3 linked regions of the Mytilus edulis genome follow. The protein of the gene in region 3 purifies or fractionates together with the protein of the main gene of each other region. This does not show direct contact. Links are inferred from orthologs where the notes say so. Each region holds a gene or a part of one and is shown on either strand. Other genes may lie near its edges.

The links. The genes of interacting proteins can lie anywhere in the genome.
Region 1: the proteins of leucine-rich repeat serine/threonine-protein kinase 2-like (region 3) and translocon-associated protein subunit delta-like purify together in Homo sapiens (co-immunoprecipitation; 3 studies listed by IntAct, with this or other methods). This does not show direct contact. The link is inferred for Mytilus edulis from reciprocal best matches to the Homo sapiens genes LRRK2 and SSR4.
Region 2: the proteins of leucine-rich repeat serine/threonine-protein kinase 2-like (region 3) and sequestosome-1-like purify together in Homo sapiens (affinity purification with western blotting; 3 studies listed by BioGRID and IntAct, with this or other methods). This does not show direct contact. The link is inferred for Mytilus edulis from reciprocal best matches to the Homo sapiens genes LRRK2 and SQSTM1.

The regions. Positions count from the first base shown.
Region 1 is NC_092344.1:13,970,216-13,977,716, reverse strand, and holds the start of translocon-associated protein subunit delta-like, read right to left. Parts: upstream 3,025-7,501; 5' UTR 2,938-3,024; coding exon 2,874-2,937; intron 1-2,873. UniProt on the Homo sapiens protein: TRAP proteins are part of a complex whose function is to bind calcium to the ER membrane and thereby regulate the retention of ER resident proteins.
Region 2 is NC_092351.1:5,214,343-5,221,685, forward strand, and holds the start of sequestosome-1-like, read right to left. Parts: upstream 3,025-7,343; 5' UTR 2,562-3,024; intron 2,047-2,561; exon of another isoform or gene 2,022-2,046; 5' UTR 1,802-2,021; coding exon 1,633-1,801; intron 40-1,632; coding exon 1-39. Other genes in the region: uncharacterized protein, read left to right, coding at 3,897-4,122, 4,685-4,780, 5,847-5,950, 6,292-7,299. UniProt on the Homo sapiens protein: Molecular adapter required for selective macroautophagy (aggrephagy) by acting as a bridge between polyubiquitinated proteins and autophagosomes.
Region 3 is NC_092344.1:55,467,626-55,475,188, forward strand, and holds the start of leucine-rich repeat serine/threonine-protein kinase 2-like, read right to left. Parts: upstream 3,009-7,563; 5' UTR 2,924-3,008; intron 1-2,923. Other genes in the region: 3 beta-hydroxysteroid dehydrogenase/Delta 5-->4-isomerase type 1-like, read right to left, coding at 6,768-7,336. UniProt on the Homo sapiens protein: Serine/threonine-protein kinase which phosphorylates a broad range of proteins involved in multiple processes such as neuronal plasticity, innate immunity, autophagy, and vesicle trafficking.

The DNA of each region.
Region 1 (7,501 bases), about 41 Mb from region 3:
TACATGTAGCAGTGTTATTTTGAATCTATATTTTTACCTAGTCAGGATTTCTCTGACGATGAGAAAAATAAAGCGTGGCATGCAGATGAAACTTACATAAATCATGTAAACGAAAAGATATTGAGATAGATTTTAATTTCCCTAATATTTTTGAATGGGCAAATATCTACTTTTGGATATAGGACTAGGTCTCACATCTAAGGGCCCAGACAAGTTGGTCTGGCAAAACAGCTGTTGGACATCAGAATAGCTGTTCTATCCAAAGGTCATTCACCTAAGGAAATTTTTTTCATATTTTTTTTTTTTTTATTATTACCATGTAATGTCAAGCTTGGTAACTCATAATTGTTTCTCAGTAACTCAATGTACGATGCTGGCCCATACTGAACCTAGTGACCTTGTTTGTTTACATTCAAATTCCAATGGCGTCAAAATCATGTGATGTTAAATCGTTCTACCCAATCAAATTGCTTTATTGTCAATTAGGTGATTTTTCAGTGAGTCTACTGCAATTAAATTATTTGTTTGTGGGATATTGCTTTAAAATAGTTTGCAATAATTTGGGGTTTTATTCATCAGGAAACCTCATTTTTTGCCATCCCTTTCGACATCAATGGAATTTCGTATGAATATTTACCTAGTCATGATGGTCAGAATATCAATCTTTTTATAATTAATCAATTTTTTTTTCTATGAAAAATTAATGTAAATTGTTTTTTATTGACCTACATGTACATGTACTCTATATTCCTGAACAAAATTATGGCATGGACATCGTTTTTCATATAGTTTTCCTTTCATTTTGGCTGGGCTTTTTTCGCGGGAAAATCACGAAAGACATAAGGAGCTTGTCATTTTGAAATTCATAAAAATATGATTTGCTTGAACTGTAATGCCTGCCTCAAGATTGATGACGAATGGAATGTAAACAAAGCAATGGGAGGCCGGAAGTGGGATTTTGTGAAGTTCTAGAATGTTTTTAGGCATTCGGAAGTTGGGATTGAAAGGGCCATTAGAAAATTGGCATGTTGGAGCAATACTAGAGAATAACAATGAAAACGTATATTTAGACATGTTTTTTTATTCAAAAGAGTAGAAAAAACATATTCTGCACTGATTTTCTCTGTTGGAAGTAGCGTAGTGACGTCAATGCATAGTTTCCCCGTGTGTTAAGTCCAAACACAAATACCGAACGAACTAACAAGATGACCGATTTTAGACTACGGTAGGATATGTCAGACTAACAGTAACATTTAGCTAACTTTTTATTTTTATCTTATACACAGGTGCTTGAGGACAGGATCCTGTATGAGCCCCAAATAGTCCCTCCCCCTTTTTTTATATATTTTTTTTTAATCATAAATCTCAGATTTTTCTATATATATCCCTTATTTGTACTAATTTGTACCATATATATACTAATATACCATATTTATACTCTAAATATGCATGTTTACTATCAACGTGAATCTCGACTATAGAGCGAAGCGAAAGGTTGCCAACTTCGTTTCAAGAAATTGGGGCAATGGTCAGGAAAAATTGTTTTAAAATCTAATAAAATGTCTCTTACCGGTCTAATCAACGAGTACTTGCTGTTCCTACATAATTATCCTTATCGAATATCAATATCCAGACATAATATATTACTGTTTAAACACTTTTAATTATTTTTTTCGCTGGTGGTGTTGCTGTTTTATGGTCCATTCAACTTCGATCAACGGAAGTTACAAAACAACGACATCTGTGTGGTCTTCAGCTCAAGAAGGATAACTCCACTTGAAAACGCGGGAAATTAGATGAGTTCCGGGGTAGAAAAAGTCAGAGATTTTCGAAATGTTTACATTCGAAATTCTCTTATGTTTTCTTATCCAGCATATACCCCGGAACTCATCTAATTTCCCGCGTTTTCATGTGGAGTTATCCTTCTTGAGCTGAAGACCACACAGATGTCGTTGTTTTGTGACTTCCGTTGATCGAAGTTGAATGGACCAAAAAACAGCAACACCACCAGCGAAAAAAATAATTAAAAGTGTTTAAACAGTAATATATTATGTCTGGATATTGATATTCGATAAGGATAATTATGTAGGAACAGCAAGTACTCGTTGATTAGACCGGTAAGAGACATTTTATTAGATTTTAAAACAATTTTTCCTGACCATTGCCCCAATTTCTTGAAACGAAGTTGGCAACCTTTCGCTTCGCTCTATAGTTGAGATTCACGTTGATAGTAAACATGCATATTTAGAGTATAAATATGGTATATTAGTATATATATATGGTACAAATAAGTACAAATAAGGGATATATATAGAAAAATCTGAGATTTATGATTAAAAAAAAATATATAAAAAAAGGGGGAGGGACTATTTGGGGCTCATACAGGATCCTGTCCTCAAGCACCTGTGATCTTATATACAGATTGTGTGATTTCTAGAAGCCTTTTGGTGTGTCCAGATGTAATATTTATTTATAGATGAAAATAAGCTTTTTCAAATACATTGTAAGCAGTGTATTGTTTACACAAAAAGCATGGCAAGAGTATGACCACTTCGGCACTTGTTACGTTGTTTTCAGAATTTCAGGATTGTCACTCTTAATATTTTCCTTACGTGTTTACATGAAGGTTCAATCAATGACATGACAGCAATCATTTGTTAAACTAGTAAACAGACTTAGACAGGTAGATTTACCAGGTGGCATCGTGTATAATTAAGTTACACGTTCAGATGAAACTGCCACGTCAACACCGGCAAATCAAAAATAGGATTTTCTACAACAGTTACTGTATTTCCTACGCTTTCTCTTCGTAACATTATGTAAAATAATCGTAGTAAGATGATTTAAGGATGCTCTTGATTGGAATATCTTACCTAACACTGCAAACGGCAACAAAACTACCACCAAAGATGCCAACATTGTGCTTGTTGTCGCCATTGTTCTAGATTACCTCCCCTTCGAAAATGTGGCGACCGGTGATCGATTATATTTATACCATCGTTTATTGCCTGGGGCCAGCAGAAAGTTTCCGGTTTTATATTCACTAATGTTTATCTGGGAACAGTATATCTAATATATTTGTTCCTGGGTTTATGTACCACTATAGTGACTATACAAATCTTATTAACAAGTTTCCGAGAACATCATTGGATATTGATCTATAAAAATAGATAATAATAATATTTAAACCTAAGGCAAATATAAAAGGGGGTGGGGGAGGAGTGTTCTTATAAACTGACAAAATCAAACAGGGATTTATAACTAATTTTCAATTATTTATTTTTTTCTTAACTTGTGATTTTTTTTTTGTGCTTTATTCAGTTAAGTTGGAATTTTAATGCTGCAGGAAGGCGGTTGATTTCTCGATTTAAATATACAGTACTTGATGATGGTACTTATAATGGTTTACTTTTTTAAATCGAGACTTGGATGGAGACTTGTCTCATACCACATCTTATTATATCTAGCACTTGATGATGGTACCTTGGCTTTATATTTTCAGGTATTCATTTATCAACCCTTCAACAGTTTCGTGCAAAATTTATAAAAAAAAAATGTACGAGCTTTTAAACCAAGAACATACCATGTTTACCAACCCTTAAACATTTGGCAAAATTTTGAATAAAGTTGACAACCTTTCAAATTTCTTGAAACGAACGATTTCAATGTGTATAGGATGCCATTGATATTTTTCATATCATATCATACATTTCTTATTCTTTAAGATTTTTTTTCTTTTTTTTCAGGAAGTTATGTGTTATTGTATTTGCTATTGAATTTTAATTTTTTGATTTTTAAGACTGACCGAGAAGCATTTCCAGATGCTATTTTTTCAACAAATTTTAGGCATACAATTTAGTTGACTTTATTTAAGTCTCAGATCCAGATAAAATCATTACTATCCGCCTTTAAGGTACATTTTTACGTTGTGCATATCATAAGTCAATGGCAACAATTAGCTCCAGGACATTAAATAAATAAGGTAATTGTTGAATATTATCAAAAAGCGCAAGTCTAAACGTGTCAAGATGATATATATTTTGGTACCATTGGTGTTATATTAAAAAAAAAATAGATTACTGAATGCATTACTTTTCGTGTATCTTTGCAGTAACTTGTTTTTTTATGACCATTTAATTACTAATTGTGTAAGGAATTGTGAACTAACGGAAATGAGATTTTTATAAAGCGTGTCGATTCTGAAGGGCAAAATGCATGAAATATATTAAAGGACATTGTAAGAAAAATATGAACATTTTTGTACGATGCTTTTAACCATGAAAAAGCGAGATTTATAAACCCCATCAACAGTTTCGAGTTAACTATATTTTATTTTACAGTTGACATTTTAAAGAAACGAGAATCTGGTCGTGATAATAATGTTAAAGAAAGTATGGAATGCATATGTATATTAATATAGTTAAAAAAAAAATTAGTTAGTTATACCGGTAATAAATAGTCAGTTCTCAGCGCATGTGTTTACAAATATTACTACGAATCTATGAAGTTTAATCAACAAGTAATATTTCTTTCGGTGATTGTTGACCGAAAACTTAGCAGCATATTTATACTTTCCGGCGGATTTTGATGCCGAAGCTTACCAGTTTTACCTTGTTAAACAATCAACGTAGATTTATGGGGTGCGAGTACAACATTTAAAGGTGATAGATGAATTTGTATTTGTTTTATTTTTCAAGTATACATTGAGACGAGCGAGCATATAGTGTAAGGAAGGACACTGTAGATAAATGTCTACTTGATAATTGGTATTATGTAATAAATAAAGTAGTTAGATGCACATTCCATTGACTCATTGGGTATCAAATTTCAGAATCCTCTCGTTTCCCCTGGTTGAAAATAAATGATTTAACGAAATGCAAATATAATCTAAAAATTTGTAAGGGTTCCGCGGAACCCAGTGTCTCGCCTACTTATGCTGTTAATCGCAGGCTCAACAAAAATGAGGGGAGGAATCAATTCCTCTCAATACTATCTTTTGATTGTAAGAAGCTTCTGTCCAAGTTTGGTAAAAATCCAGGATAGTTTATGAGTTTAATAAATGTTTTAAAAACTGACTGCAGACTGTATGTAATGTTAACTGAAAGACAAACTAAGTCCATTTATAAGTAAAATACGGATAAACAGGTACAAATTTTTTAACAAAATTTCCTTCTACGATACTATTTTATGATCATAAACAAGCTTCTGTCCAAGTTTGGTAGAAATACCAGGATAGTTTAAGAAAGATTTTAAATTTTGAAAACTTTAACCACATAGTGAATGTAATGTGTCCTGGCAGAAAAACTAAGACCATTTAAAAGTAAAATACGGAATTTTATTTTTACAAAATTGACTTCTGGATACTATCTTATGATCATAAACAAGCTTCTGTCCAAGTTTGGTCCAAGTTTGGTCGAAACCAGGATAGTTTAAGAAAGTGATTAAAACTTCAAAAACTTTTAACCACAGAGTGAATATTTGTGGATGACGAGGACGACGACGGAATGTAGGACTAAAGTCGAAGGCTCGACAGAAATAAAACTGCTAAAGAATATATATTCGTTCTCACTTGCAGATCAAGCGGAAGCTTATTTTGCCCAGACTCCCAGCGATTCTCTCTTTCGATCGGACAAAACATGAAGAAGGTTCGAGCAGAAGACACTAACATACGTTTAAGTTTAGTATCACGTAGAAAGTAGCATTCATAGGTCACCATACGGTCTTACGAATGAGCAAAACCCATTTAGCATTTCAAGCTATAAAAAGATCCCGCAATTTTAATGAGAAAACAAACATACATGATAAAAATAAATGAGAAATAAATACTATGCTTACATGCAGCCACAAACAATAATAACCCCCGATTTAAAGACATGGGACAGGCACAAGTCAAATTGTTCAATATTAGTTCAAAAGAAACACAATAAGTATAAATTTCATATAGGGACATATGTAGGTGACTTCCTTTTTATCTTTCAATACATCAGGTCATAAGAGATATATGTATTCTACCTATTTTGACAAGTCTTCGACAATATGTCTACAAATATTGTTCTAAAGTTTGGAATCAAATTTCACACTTTGTAATCTTCTTTAAAAAAAAATTGTAAATGATGAATATAAAATTTCATATCAATATCATAACTATACGATTGATAGATACACAGGTAAAAAGACAGGTGTGTGTTGACGGAAAAATAAACATTTCTGTTCAGGTAATCTATTTGATCCATTAGGAAAGTTAATAGGATAATATGTGTTGGCGCTTTTTAACAAGGATTAACAAAAAAACTATTCGGATTTATTACACACATTAAGGTGATAATATTACATATTGAAATTCGGCCAAAGTTAGGATTTAAACACTATGAATGAAGAAGAATAAACAACTGCTCGTTCATGTAACATTTTAACATGCAATCGATCGTAAACATGTTCAAATGTAAATATTCATAACGGTCCACGGGTCAAACCGAAACACGGATTAAAATTTCAGATCATTGACGACCCGAAACAGATATAATTATAGCTAATAGACAAGAAGATCTCCGCCTTTACAACTAGGGAAATATTTCATTACAATAGGAAGATATTTAATGAAGGGATGTGACGAATGAGTGATTAAGTATAAATAGACGTGTATTGCCTGTGTTGTTTATTGACAATTCTCAGGTGAAGTGCATATTTTATATAATCAGAAAATGCAGACATGTGCAGTAAGCAACAGGTAAATGCATGTTTCTGGTGTTAGGTGAAAACGTGAAGAAAATATCACCCCATTCTATTAATCGAAAAGTGAAATGTACTTAGACCGAATGGATTAATAACAAGTCGAAAAGTCACAAGGATGGGTGGAAAGTTAAGTTGTGCTAGTAGACGGTATGCAGAGAGGGATTCAGATTTTCAACCTTATACTAAAGGACCCATTCCAAAGCAAAATGTTGAAGGTGAGTCAAAAGTTATCAAGCTAAGCTAACAAATATAAAATGGGACTAAAAATTTCACATTCAACCAGTAACTGTACTCTAGGTTAAGCTGATTAGATTTTATTTTCAACGATTTAAACTGGTAAATTCATTTTTAATCTGTCTCTGGTTCACAGGGTTATTAAAGTCGTATATTTTGTGCATATGTACTTTTTGTATTTAACTGTCATGTTTAAAACCGTCATATATTATCCTGTAAACTACGTAAGAACATAAAAAAGAATATTATATTTGCTACCGCAGACTCTAAATTGTTGAGGTAAATTTCAGACGAAGTATATTTAATCTGATGTATTGGTCCTGTTAGATTAAACAGAGAAAGCCAGATGAAATATTTAGTTTTGAAAAATGTGTGTCAAGACTGAAAGAATGGGTGTACAGAATTATTTGAGTATGAATACATGTAAAATACATGTAAAATAAACCTATATATATAATGGTTTACTTTTTTTTTTTTTTTAAATTGTTATTTGGATGGAGGGTTGTCTCATTGGCACTCACACCACATCTTCCTA
Region 2 (7,343 bases), on a different chromosome or scaffold from region 3:
CATCGTCTGTAGAAAAGGCAATCTGGTCACCCTCCGGATCTAAAATAAATAAGATAGGTACATGTAATTCCTGATTAAGTCTGCCCCAGAAACTTTAAATATCTCAACAATTTTAGAACAATCTGCAATGGGTTTTCCACTTTTTTCAAATAAATTGAGTGTCTAGATAAATTATATTAGGGACATAATATATAGTCAGCATACTATTCTCAGATATTAGTAATTGTTTCCTTATAGCTTTCAGTTTCAATAGTGTTTTCCTTGTAAACATGAGGAAATTTTTATATATATATATATATTCATGTTCAAAATGTACATGAACTCATTCATTGTCTATTGTGGAAATTAACATGCATTTGTTTCTGTTTCAATCAATCTTATTTTTTAAACATAATTAAGATTAATTGAACAAGAGTCAAAAACATTTAAAAATTTCTTGCATTTATTGAAACAATGACTGGAAAAAGAATTATAATCTTGTTATAAAAAATTATTTAAACATCTGATCACTTTAAAGTCATAAGAAACCTCAAATCAAAAAAAAAAATAATGCATATGATTTTTATAACTCAATGGATAGTTTTCATTATAAAACTTATGTACATATACTTTTTTCTGAAGAAAATTCTTTAATTTATTCATATTTAGAAGAAGTTTACTTTATTTGAATAGCTTCCTTCCAGCAAGCTATTCCCCCGACATATTTTCCGTATGCAAGGTGACCTCAGTGTGACCCATCTCGTAAAAATCCGGTGACCACAATACGCATGGATGTCCTTAAAATAAACTATTATCTGAATTTACATGTTAAACACGTGCTCAATTTCCATGCTTTTTTGTTTATTTTTCGTCAATTGTTGACAAACAGGTGACAATCGTTAAACTTCGGCTTCAAAACACGAACTTTAATTACCTGCCATATTTTCACAACAACACTGACCGATTGAGAAAAAAAATTGACAATTATACGAAATTTACACGAAAAAAATGATAAATTGGAGCACAGAAGACGAGGTTTAGGATGTTTGTATGCATTACTTCAAGAATTGGAAGAACATTATTTTTCACCGGTCACTCGTTTCTTATGACTTTAAATTCAACAAACTAATAATGCAGCATTTTAAATTGCAATAAGCCTGGTTTGAAAGCAGGTCAACTATTATTAGACAAATTATACAGGATATACATTTTTGTACAGGTATACAACATTATATATATATATGATGAAACATCAAGGGCATTTAACAGAACATAATAAATTACATAATTAATTTTAAACTTAACCAAAAGTAAAATGGAAATTCAAAATACCTAGACAAAATAAATAAACCTTTTTACAGACAGCATTTCAATTTATAAAAGCTTCCTTTCATTGCATAAATTGACATATTGCATCGAAAATATGGAATATATCAAATCCGTGAAACCATCAGTGTTATATATATATATGACAAGATTGTTTTTATTTTCTATCCTATTTACTACATGTAGCAATCAGTTTTATAACAGCTGCATACAACCGTATACAGTTAATCTTTTGGTTGCCTATTATAGTATATCATGTTATGTACAAATGTACAGGTATATCGCTTTTGTAAATAGTGTAAATTAAAATAATCAAAATCAACTTACCAGTCCAATATAGATTAAAATTTCCTTGCTTTAGGGTAGGATAAATATCCGCCACTTTCTTCTGAAGATAGCTGAAGCTGCTTGAAACATCAGCAGGCACAGCAAATCTACGTATTTCTCTCTTTTCCTCTCCTTTATTTACCAAATAGGCTTTTACTGTCAATGACATCTTCGCGGGAAATTGTTGTTGTTGACGTTGTGTCCACTTTGCTACCAAATAGAGTTATGTCTAAATTCGTCAACTCTTCTCTTTTTATAAGCCCAAGTTGTCAGGTATGAATGACGATGAATCGACGAAAGATTTAATTCCAGAACCAACTAGACCAGGTAATTGAAAGTAATGATGACAAACATTTGTTCAAATATGAGTGTAATGCGCAAGTTCCGTTCTGAAAAATATCAACAAACAACGATGTCATGTCTATTTTTAGTAGCACACATGTTTCCTCTTTATGCAACACAAAATGACACGACGAAATTGAACAGAGAATAAGAAACTTATGACCATGACGAATACGTTATTCTTGAATTTCTGACATACAAACAATTAGCAATGTCAATTTCCATTTATATCAAATATTTTTTTTCACATTGTATCAAATATTTGTATAGTAAGATTTGTTAGGCTAATTTGTCACAAATTGAAAATTAAATTATAAACGATTCTCTGGGGAGGAGTAGATAGGAGATATATGTTTGTGTCGATTCAGATGATGACAAGGATTATGAAAAAATATAGCTCATATAAGAGGGACCACCCCACCCTTTTTCGACCACTAAATCCATCAGGTGTAAATCATATTCATGAGAAACTGTATTGTTTTAATTTATTTCACTTTTACATTTTCTACGTTTTGCTTGACAAGCTATTCATTTTCATTCTATGTTTTGTTTTTTATTTGTCAATGTTGAATATAAGCAGTTCCTACCAGGCCAACCGCAGTATCATGATATGCAACTCCCAAAGTACTCTTGATCTCCGTATAATATGGGTCGCTCCAATATTTGGAGAAAATGTTTTAATAGTAAAACTTTCTATAGTAGGCTCTTCAGAATAAAATATATATATAGTACACACACAGTGACATTCTCCCCCCAGTCCTTCTTTTCTTTATGTTGAGTCCTACTTTTTAAGAGAACTCTATAATCCTGAAAATTTCTGCAAGGATTATTTATATAACTCAAGTGTACCTTGAATTTCATAAAAAAAAAACACCAAAAAAACATATGCCCATCCGTACAAACTAGAAATGGATCAAATCGGCCAAATATACAGAGTTGTAAATAAACAATATTCCTAAAAAATATCTGATAAAACTATTCCGTTTTCCTTAAAAACAACTTATATAATTATCGTATTTGTGTGGTGTACTTAAATATGTTTGTTTGTTTGTGATATACTATTGTGTTAGTCTAAACAGTTTTGTTTTAAAAGGGAGTGAACTTTAAATAGTACAATTTCTTCCCGTTTATTTAAGAACCCAAATGTAAAAAAAGTTCAACCCTCCCCAAGTTCACACACACACAAACTTACATACATGTACATATCTTGATCATGACTAGGAATGGATGAATTTTGTGATTATCTTTTTTTTTTTTGCATGTTCTCTATCATATTTAATGTGTATCTTTTCAATTAAGTAAGGCGCTGCCGTGTACGCTAGTTTGATATTAGTTGCTTATAAACTAGTTATGATATTTCGAAAATTTTCATCACAATAAACCTGATTTTCATCACAATAAACCTGGTCAAATATTTTTGGAAACCCTGTTTTGTCGGTTGCATGTGAATGACTCGTGACCTTTCAGTTTTGAATTTAATATCAATAAATAAATATGTTCCTTGTTTCAGGAGATAAAAAAAAGTAATATTTGTTAATAATGTGTATGTTGTTACCTAGTAAGGCCCCTCAAATGTTCTGTAACCTTAATTTTAAATAAAACGTTTTAAATCGTTTAATTGCTCCTTTGATAAATTGCCAAATTTTTCTCTTTGATTCTTTACAATCCTCTTTCGTCTATTCATCTACCGCGTGGCTTATTGTAAACCTTTAATAAGTTGAACAAATACAATCCTCTTTCGTCTATTCATCTACCGCGTGACTCACTGTAAACCTTTAATAAGTTGTACAAATAGAATGACGTTATTCGATTTCATCTAATTTAAAAACCGTTGACTCATCATCACGAGGTATTTCATCGTTGTTCTAGAACATTCTTTTCATCTATTTTCGTCTATGACTCACGGTCATGGGACATGTTAGATGAATGGTATAAAAAGCGATGATTCGTTTAAATGCGCATTTGTAGCGACGAAAATAAAGTTCGAATCAACTGTGAAAATGCCGCTCGTAATTAAAGCAGCCTTTATTAAAGAAGACGAAACCTCTGAATTCCGACGATTTACTGTCGATGAAAATTTGAGCTATGAATTCCTGAAGAGGAAAATTACCAAGATTTTCACAGATAAATGTGAACTAATGTGGAAAGGTAAGTTAACATATTATAATTAACTCAGGTAAATATACACATATATATATAGATAGATCGATGAAAGATAAGTAAATATAAGTTATTTATATAGAAAATATTTATTTAAATAAAGACAAAATATGTATATATTGAAACTGTTTGTTTATTAATTTATAATGTCAGAGCTCTAGTATAATGGAAAAAAATAATGGACGGAAACGTGATTGAAATAAAATGTGCTGCTCTTTTAATTAAATAAAAGTGATGAACAAAAGAAACTTTTGAAACTTGCTGTTTTTTTGCCAATTAAATCCGAATTAAAAATGTGAAAAATGCTGGTTTTGTTTTATGCATGGGGAACTATTTTACCTATTTTGTTCAACTTATTTAAAAGAAGAGAGATAATGTACACCCCTTTTCAAAACTTATGTGATCTGTGTTGGAGTGAAATACGTGATCAATTATAGCAGTAAAAGCTTAGGGTTGCCAGTGTCTGCATCGTAGGCCACATGCGCATGATTTTATAATATTAATTTCATAAAACAGGGAGTAATTAATCACCATGTTATATCAATTGTAGATGCTGATGGCGATCTTGTCTCATTTTCTTCAGACGAAGAACTACAAGAGGCGTTGGAAGGTGTCTCCGGTGGTATATTTAGAATGTTCGTCACAGGTAAGCCATTTGATTTATCGTATATGCAGTTCATGTCTAGTGCCTGAAAAGGTAAAAAAAAAAAAGATAAAGACTTGAAAAAATTAAAAACATAACTTATTAAATATAGATTTAAGAACTATAAATTCTGTTAAGAGATTTTTATTGATACAGAATCCAAAATCTTGATACAAACAAAATCATATTAGCTGTGTCATTTTTTATAAGCATGTATATGTTGGAATTTTCCTCGTTATAGAAATTCTTTTGCTCAAACTTCGGTCTCTTTTGTTCGTTTAACATATCAGTGCCGAATATAAAATCATCGCACATGTATTAGATGTAGGATTTTCGTATCCGAGGGCCGTCAGCCCCGAAGATATGAGACATCTACATTTGAATCACATAGAAGTAATAAACAATTAGTTTATCATGTCTCTTGTTCTTGAAAGAGCAATTGATTTTGATAAAACAGAAATAGTTTCATGATCTGTTAGGCTCTGATCCTGTCCATAACGTTATAGTATGGTATTAGTTTTCTGTTTTGCTTTTTCCAATCATATCGTGTTGTAAAATGATGCCCTTTATGGGTTCTTGATTAGATTAATAAAATTCTTAAAATAAATTCTTATAGAACATCGTTCATAGCTATGGACATGAAATGAAATCCTAATTGCGTCTATTTTTCACGGTCATCAGAGGCGGATCTAGACATTTTTATAAGGGGTACAATGTCTGCCTAATAGGGGGCCGCTTTAGTCATGCTTCAGTGGTTCCCTATATAATCAACCATTTTTTCCAGGATACCCCTCCCCTCCCCCTAAATTCGCCTCTAAAATAGTCATTAAATTGATACGCTTATATCACTGCTTTTGATTTGCAATATGCATCGCTCTACTATCTTGTCTTTTTCTTGTTTAACTGCAATTAGAACTTTTTGCTGAATTAATAATGACATTATTCAGATCGAAATCTCGATTTTACAATGTAATTTTTGTGTGAAATATTTGATTCATGAATATTTTATGTGGGTAAGTTTATAATGTATAGTTCAATGCATGTTAAATTATACATTTATTTATTTCAGTTGACCAACAGAAATATATGAAAAGTGTACCCCAGCTTAAATATTGTAACACAGTCAATAAACAGAAAGAAGCTGGGAGAAGGCTGCACAAAGCTCAAATGATGGTAAGTAAAATTAAGATAAGAGGAACTTCCAACTTTCTTATTTGCTTACCGAAACAAACTGAATGATCAACTAGAAGCAATTAACCAATTTGTAAACGATGAAAAAAAACACAGACAGAAACTCAAATACGGACTTCGTAGTCTTATAAATGTGTATAGCCACATATCCATCTGAATACACCCTATTTTATCACACAAATCATGTTTTGAAAGTAATTTATATACATTAAATTGTTTAACATCCATATAAATAAAAAGACGAACTACTCTTGCGTGCAATATAAAATTAAATTCTCAGTTGAACTTATAATAATGACCTATTTTTCGTATATTTTTTGTAGAAGTCTCCTGATTTCAACGTTGACCAGAATAATGGGCGGTCTATATTCAAAATAAGACCAGGTAACTATGAATCTGCGCTTGAATCTTTTAGATTTTATCATCGTCGTCATGGAAACAAAATGCAGAGGAAATCTAATGAAGAAATGGAAGCCTGGTTTAACAGAAGACAACAAAAATGGTTGAAGCGACAACAAGAAATGGAACATTCATTAAACACAAGAACTGAAGGCCACAAGAATCAAAATGGTGAGAACGATCGTCTGCAAAAACGCATCTGGCGCATAAGGAACAAACTCGCACATTTTGAAATTGGAGATTTGACTCCAGAATCCACTAACCAGGAAGGAAGTATGAATTCAGGACCTCCGTCTACAAGAAAAGAAAAGGTGGGCCGTGGAAGATTCGGACGTAAAGAAGGCAAATTTGGTAAAGATAAAGACAATGCAGTGATAAAACTGAAACTGAAAAATCATCACCGTGCAAGAAGTTGTCCAAGTCGTATCACTGGGACAATATCTAGAGCAGTACAATTTGGTCGGTTTAATGCAGGGAGACGGTTTGGTAAATTTGGTCCACACCATCATACCGCGGAATGTCATGATCGTAAATGCCGAAATGGTCACCACGGTGACAAACAATTGAGAAATGGTCCGTTTAAAAAGAATATACGCAAGATGTTCGTCGAGTCACAAGATAAACCAGATGAGTATATAAACGATGAAATGAAAACTAAGCGTCGTTGTCGTCGTCAAGAAAATCTTGAAAAGAAAATCCATTTCCGACAGATGCGTGAGGAAAACAAGAAAATACCAAATGCATGGAGGGTGAAGCAACGAGGGTTAGGAAACCGTCATGGGCGTGGCATGAACTACTGGATACCAAGACGAATGAGACTTCTCAACAACCTGTCAGAACTGGAAGAGGAGAAGAATTTGGTACAATCTGAACTGGAGCATGGATGTAGACATACTCCAGGCGGCTCTATAGATTGTCTACACAAAGTCTAAACAAAAGTTTAAACCACCTTTGTGAACTTTTCAGTATCACTACA
Region 3 (7,563 bases):
TGTTCTTCTACTGGCTGAAAGTCATGACAGTGCCAGAAGGCGATGTTCTTCAATTGACTGAAAGTCATGGCAGTGCCAGTGAGTAGCAATTATAAAATGATAAAAGAAAAATCATAAATCATGTTATATTTTTAACTTAGGGACTGACCATTTACTTTCAAAAAGGGGGAGGCATATATGTTACTCAGTCTGGTTTCTGATCTGAAAGAAAAAAATACAATAGAGCTTATTTTGTAATATGTTTGTCAATTTGCCGAACCAAAATAAAGTTTTACTCATGTCACCTATAAAGATATATAAATTTAAAATTATTTTCATGGGCGCACTCCAAAAATGTCACTTTGTGACATGATAGTCAACATGGTCAATCAGTTGACCTTGGCCACTTACTGTAAGATGAAGAAGAATGTCAAATTTGGACTTCCAAGACTTGTTACTTATAGCATCTCCTCTAGCTCTATAAAAATCTTTTGGACCTGCAAACAAAATGGGAACTCGAAGCGTCGGGGAAAGAAACTACCAAATAGTGCTTGCAATTACATAATTTATCTAAAATTGAGAAAGGAACTACACAGTGCTCAGTGGCGGATCCAAAAGGGGGGGGGGGGGGGTTCCCGGGGTTGGAATCCCCCCTTTTTTTTTGCCGATCAATGCATTTGAATGGGAGCATATAGTTGGAACCCCCCTTTACTCTGGGTTAATTGGGACCCCCCTTTTTTTAAATGGCTGGAGCCGCCACTCACTGCACAGGCACTTGTCTCAGAAAAAAAAATCGTATATACCTTATTGAGGGCCCTCATGGGGTTTTTGATTATGTGATTACTTGGCCGTTTTTTTAATGATTATTTGATTATTAAGCCAAATATTTCATGATTATTTGATTACCTAGGACTGTATTTTTAGTTTATGATTATTTGATTACTAAAGATAAGCAAATATTTAATGATTATGTGATTATATTGGCAAAAAAATGGTGATTATGTGATTACTAGGACCCCCCATGAGGGGCCTCCTTATTATAACTTCAGGTATATAGGGATCTGAGACGAGTGCCTGGAAAGGAAATGGGGATAATGTCTAAGCGACAACAACCCGACCATATATATATAGAGTAAACAACAGCTGGAGGCCACCAATCATCGGGGTCTTCAAAGGAGCGAGAAACTCCCGCACCCGTAGGCGTCCTTCAGCTGGCCCCTTAAAAATATGTACACTAGTACATACCAAACTCCGAATTATACACAGGAAACTAAAATTAAAAATCATACAAGACTAGCAAAGGCCATGGGTTCCTGACTTTGGACAGGCGCAAAATTGCGGCGTGGTTGAACATGCTTATGAGATGATCTGAACCCTCCCCATTACCAGTCTAGCCAATGTAGAAAAGTAACGCATAACAATACGCACATTAAAATTCAGTTCAGGAGAAGTCCGAGTCCGATGTCAGAAGATGTAACAAAAGAAAATAAAAGAATCGTTAAAAGGTGACAGGAGTGGACTGACCACAAACTAAGACTTTGGTTTGCTATTTATTCTAACTTCAAGACTTAGATATCTCAAAACTAACACTTGTTTATAAAAAAATATATTAATATAACACAGGTATCGATCTAGCATAATTTGTCTATCCAACCTAGAGACGTACATGATACTATATATATATGTCTTTGATTCAAATGAAACTTGTGTAGACCATAAGCTTAAAGTTATCTTGATTTTATATTATGAACGCGCATTTTCGTTGTTAGACAACACTACATCATCAGTGAAGGAAAACTAAGCCATGCTTAAAAAACGAAGCGAAAGACAAACAACAGTCTACAAAACACAGCATAGAAAAGTCCATGCTTCACCAAACCTCTGACAAATCTTGAAAACGGCAATGACCCCATGCATTCTGTCAGGAGGCGAAAACGGGTTACACAATAAACACTGAAGTTACACCACACAACCTGGCACAATTAATGCCGCTGCGTCATGTTCAAGTTTTCTTACTGGTTTTCGTATTTTCCCGTCATTTATAGAAAAATATAGCGAAATCCTATATTAGAAAAAAAAAGATTTATACCCGCGGCTGCTTTGGCTGTCCACTAGACAAAAATGTGTTCTAGTGTGAAAATGGACGTCACAATCAACTCGAAACATATATTTAAATAACTTTAAAAGGCTTTGGACAGATTTTTGGACCGTGATAAAAGGTGCTGAGGAGTTTGTGCTGGGAAATAATTCAGAGGTTCCATTTAGAGATTTTCCATATTTAGGACAGTTTATTAACAAGCTCAGGCATACCAAGGAGGTTATATGACCTCGTGACATAACCTCACTGGGCATACTGATACATCTAATGATATAATGGCAATATAAAGTCCTCATTTAGGTCCCATGCAGTAAAGATATATAATACATATATATATCTGGTCCCAGACGTAAGGATACCGGGTAGTTCTTATACTGACTATCCAGGGACATTATATACTAATATAGTTAGTATAGACTATCCATGTTCTCGCTGAGAATAGTATAGTATATGTGCAAGGTCCTTGCAGGAACACACAGTTCGATATACGGCCATGTACTAGCAAACCATGCCAATGGTATACCGTTGAGGTCGTCGAATTGGGTGTAATTACATAAGTTTACACATTTTGTTGAAATAACATTCTCTATTATAGGTTTCTGTGATGACCTACCACGTATATATTATAGTATGTTGACATTTATTTATTCATAATTCATTGAATCTTATTTATACAGAGAAGTTATTCTTTGAGTTTGATAGCAGGAGTAAAAGATGGTCTATAGTGTTTGTATTTTCTTTCCTGTTCACAAATAAATATATGCGGCGGTGTAGATTGTGTTTCAAATTAAGAGTGTTTATTTTGGGTCTGAATTGGAAAACGTTGAACGTAAATATTGTATTTACCTGAAATATGAATATACACACCATAATTGATTTGTCCATTTCCTGTGTTATAAATAAAATTCACCTGATTTTAAGATCATGTGAGATAAAATTTTAAATAGGTATCCGATTAGCCCAAATGTATTTATAGCATTTGTACATACATACCCACTTTTACACATATCTTTTGGCGATATTTAACATGTTAAAGGGCAAATAGTATGGCTGAAATTTATAGACAGAATAACTTACTATATGAAATTTAGCTTACATGTCTTTATACTGCTCCTAGCAGGATCAATTGCCCCCCTTTCGGTTGAAGTTTGAGGTATTTTTTGTTTATTTTCTTTGTTTGCTGCTCCACATCTCTTTGTACTAGTTTACAAGACTGCAAACGTACATGAACGATGAATTTTATCTCCCGAAGTAAAGCAAATTAAAGACAATAACTATAACAAAGAAATGAAAATAATAAAAAAAAGAACCTTTTATATGTTTCATCAAAATTTTGTCTTGGTTTGTCATGAAATTAAAGTCAACGGATACTGTTCATATGATTGACTGTAAGAAAGAAACTCTAAATTTTTAAGAACTTTGAAGGAATATACAGTGGTCATTAATTTTTCAGTTATAAAGTTGAGCTATAATTTATACTTCTTTTCATATAAAATAAAAAGATGTTGTTTGACCCAATGACTTAGATGATCTTAGATGTTAGCATTTATAGGCTACCGTAAGCAGACATTCTACAATAAGAACTTGAAATCCATACCGCATAAAAGCTATAAAAGGCACCGGCACAACAAATGTAAAACAATTCTAACGGAAACAAGTATTCTAGCATGATAACAGTTTTGATGGTATCTACTTTAACTTTAAGTCAAATATCCCAAACTTACCAGCCATTCACTGTGGTGGATAGGCCTGACACACACACTTTAATAAAAAAAAAAAAACCATTTATAATTATAAACTAGGCATGCATATAATGTTACTCATATAGAAATGAAATTTTTGGAAAGGCTGAAATTGTCTTCACACAACTTTGACCGTACATTACTAACTCGATAAAGTTTATGGCAGTATTCACTGAATTGTAGGAAATTAATAAATAGTGGCATTTCATATCCAACACTTAACGACAACGCCATTTGTAAAACTAAAAAGTTTATGAACTGTTCTTACATCTTGTTTCTTCTCAGCTAAGGGACGACATCAAAAGATCAATGTAAGATAAAAAAAAAACAAAAAAACTTAATAGTTTGGGTGGGGGTTGAACTGCTGCAAGATTTGGCTATCCGACATTGATTTTTACATATATCCACATGGGTCAATCAATTTTTCCCAAATTAAGTTAATAGGGGGTAGGGGGGTCAGTGAAAAAACTATTTGAATTAAGTTTTTTATCCTTCATTGAACTTTTAATGTCGTCCCTAATGGGCTTACTAAATTTTAATGTTGACTTGTGTTAAATTTTTGTTACATCCTGGTAATTTGTTTTTTTGCAATATAAACATCAAATAGATCTTTAACAATTGAAATCAAAACTACAATGTTTCTTTAGGTTTTTTGTATCAAAATTTCATACTGGTTTGTATTTTGCCATGTATGAAAGATCGTATCTGCGTATACAGTAGAAGGTTATATTTCATGAACTACGAGCATTCTTCTATACGGATTTGTTTAGTTTTGTTTTGTTTGTAGTTGTGTTTTAGTCAGCTATTATGTGTAGACTATAGGACAGTTAATGGCATCACTTTAAAAGATGTGTTTCCTCTTCCATATATTTGAATGAATGAAATCTGTATTTGCAAAGTATATGTAGTTAAATGCTATAGCAACACGAACATATTTACATTATGACACACAATAAACAGCAGAGAACAATATTAAAAGATATATCAATTTAGATTTTTTGAAAATCTAAAATCAAAATTGACCAAATCTGTAATTTTGGCAAACCGTGATTAAAACCATTCATTTATAACAGTGATACAAGAAAGAAAAATATATTTAGGGGCTGCATGTGTTATCACAAACAGATAATAGAATATGCACAATTTATAAAAAGTTGTATCGGCTTGTTTTCATATTCAAAATGAAATAGTGTGTCACAAAAAAAGCTACTAGTACTTCCAGTCGATATCTTACTTAGGCACTTCAGATGTAACTAGCTTTGAGTAACCTGTATTGTTCGAATAATCAACAATGAATTCCTTAACATGGCTACTGCGATTGCAATCTCCGAGGGTTTATAACCCTGGTGCTTAGAGATGATGAGTGAATATGATATTGAGATTCAACATTATAGACATGGGTTTGACCATAAAACGATGATGATTCAAGTAGTCTCTTGCAAGCAATGCGGTAACAAGATTGGTCGTGAAAAGGAAATACAATCCGATATTGCGCTCCTCACGCAGACCTTTATAAGTTGGGTTTAGATTTTAACTTGATAAACATGAATGTTTTAATTGTTAGGCAAATGTAACTTTTTTTATCATGCAATAGCATAGCCTTCCTCTCGTATTTACCAAAGTCAATGCTCAGTTGAAAATGCCAAAAGTCATGGCCATGTCTGTTTTATTTAACTTAGAAGCAACAGTAATTTACTCTTCTTAATCTCAAAAATTCATTTAGAAGATACAAATGAATAAGAAACAAGAATGTGTCCCCAGTACACGGATGCTCCATCCACACTATCATTTTCTATGTTCAATGGACTGTGAAAATGGGGGAAAATCTCTAATTTGAAATTAACATTAGAAAGATCATATCATAGGGAACATGTGGACTAAGTTTCAAGATGATTGGACTTCAACTTCATCAAAAACTACCTCGACCAAACACTTTAACCAAAACTTTAACCTGAAGCGGGACAGACGAACGAACGAACGGACGCACAGATCAGAAAACATAATGCCCATAAATGGGTCATAACGAACACAACCCGTAATATTCGCATTATCTCTTCACAGATTGAGACCGGATACGATTCCACACTATAACAAATTGTCACAATAAGATTTATACAAAAGTATGAAGGTATGATTGCAAATGAGATAACTCTCCATAAGAGACTAATATAACGTAGAAGGTAAACAACTACAGTTACCGTTTAAGTATAATTATGTTTATTTCATACGATCCTGGCATGTCAGCAACTGCTAGTAGCTATAGTCCTTTGTTCATTTATGCATCATTGTCATTTTGTTTAGTTTCTTTTGTTACCTTTTCTGACATCAGACTCAAACTTCTTTTAAACTGAGTTTTATTGTGCATATTGTAGTGTGTTTGTTTTTTCTATATTGGTTACAGGTTTAGGGGAGGGTTGAAATCTCACAAAACATGTTTTACCTCGCTGCATTTTTGCACCTGTCCCAAGTCTGGAGCCTCGGGCTATTCTAGTTCATTTATATATTTCGGAGTCTAGTATGATGTCTATTATCAGTACACTTTTTTGTTTAGGGGCCAGCTGAAGCACGCCTCCGGGTTCGGGATTTTCTCGTTGTGTTTAAAACCTTTCGGCTGTTTTTTGTGCTCTTTGGGCGTCCCTCTTCGACACATTTATCATTTCCATTCTCAATTTGATTGCTTGTCAAGTTGCTTTTTTTCAAGGCACATATTAGTTGTTCAATTTGTGTAATTGAGTATCGCCAATTTTTAGGAATGTTTTCTTTGGTTGTGATACGTATTTGGCATATAATTGATGCTATTGGGGTTTACTATGCAAACGACTGGGGTTTTACACGACATTACGTTTTATCTTTTTTCCTTGTTTTCATTTGTATGGTGCAGTTTATTTATTGACACTTTTCTGTGTGGCCATAACTAAAAATCAAAATAGATTATAGGAAAAATATAACTAGTGTTTCTTTTTATTATCAAAGTTAAGTGAATTATAATACTTAAGTGAACATTTGTAACTCTCTACGGGAGTGTACAAAGGTTTGTACTGTAACATTTTTCTAGCTTTTGAATCGTCGAACGACAGCGCTAAATTTGTATATATAAGTGTTGCTGTTGTTACTGGAAATTGCACTTTCTTCAATGGTGAAATTAAAAACAGTAAAATGTGAATAAAACTTATCAGTACATACAGAATCCAATAAGGAACAAACGACCGATACAATGATATATTGAATGAATCAAAGTATGGTTTACAAAACTTCATCATTGATTTATTAGGACTGTTATCTTTAATAAGAAAGGCTTCGCCTCCAAGCGTTTTATCTGACCTCATTGCTTTATAAGCACATACAAAAGCCCAAGCTATATTTCCAACGTAAACAAGACAACATGCTCCATTGCCACAAAAATCAATCATGATCTTTTTGTTTTGCAGTCCAGCTTCTATAGCCTGAGGTATAAAATGTTGATCAAGCTCTCCATAAATTACCATTGGTCGCAAAGAAATGGTTCGAAATGCAATACCTGTAAAGAAATCTACATAAATATATGTACAATGCTATTAACAAAATTTAAGCAAGAATCTTCAAATAAAAGAGCATGTATTACAGAATAAAGCTTAACCGTAGCATGGACTCCGTATTGCTCACTTTAAATTGATGATTAATGGTTTAATGTGCAATGGCAAATATCAATATGCATGGAGACCAACAATTTAATTATGTATTAAGTAAAAGTTAGTTCTTCAAAGT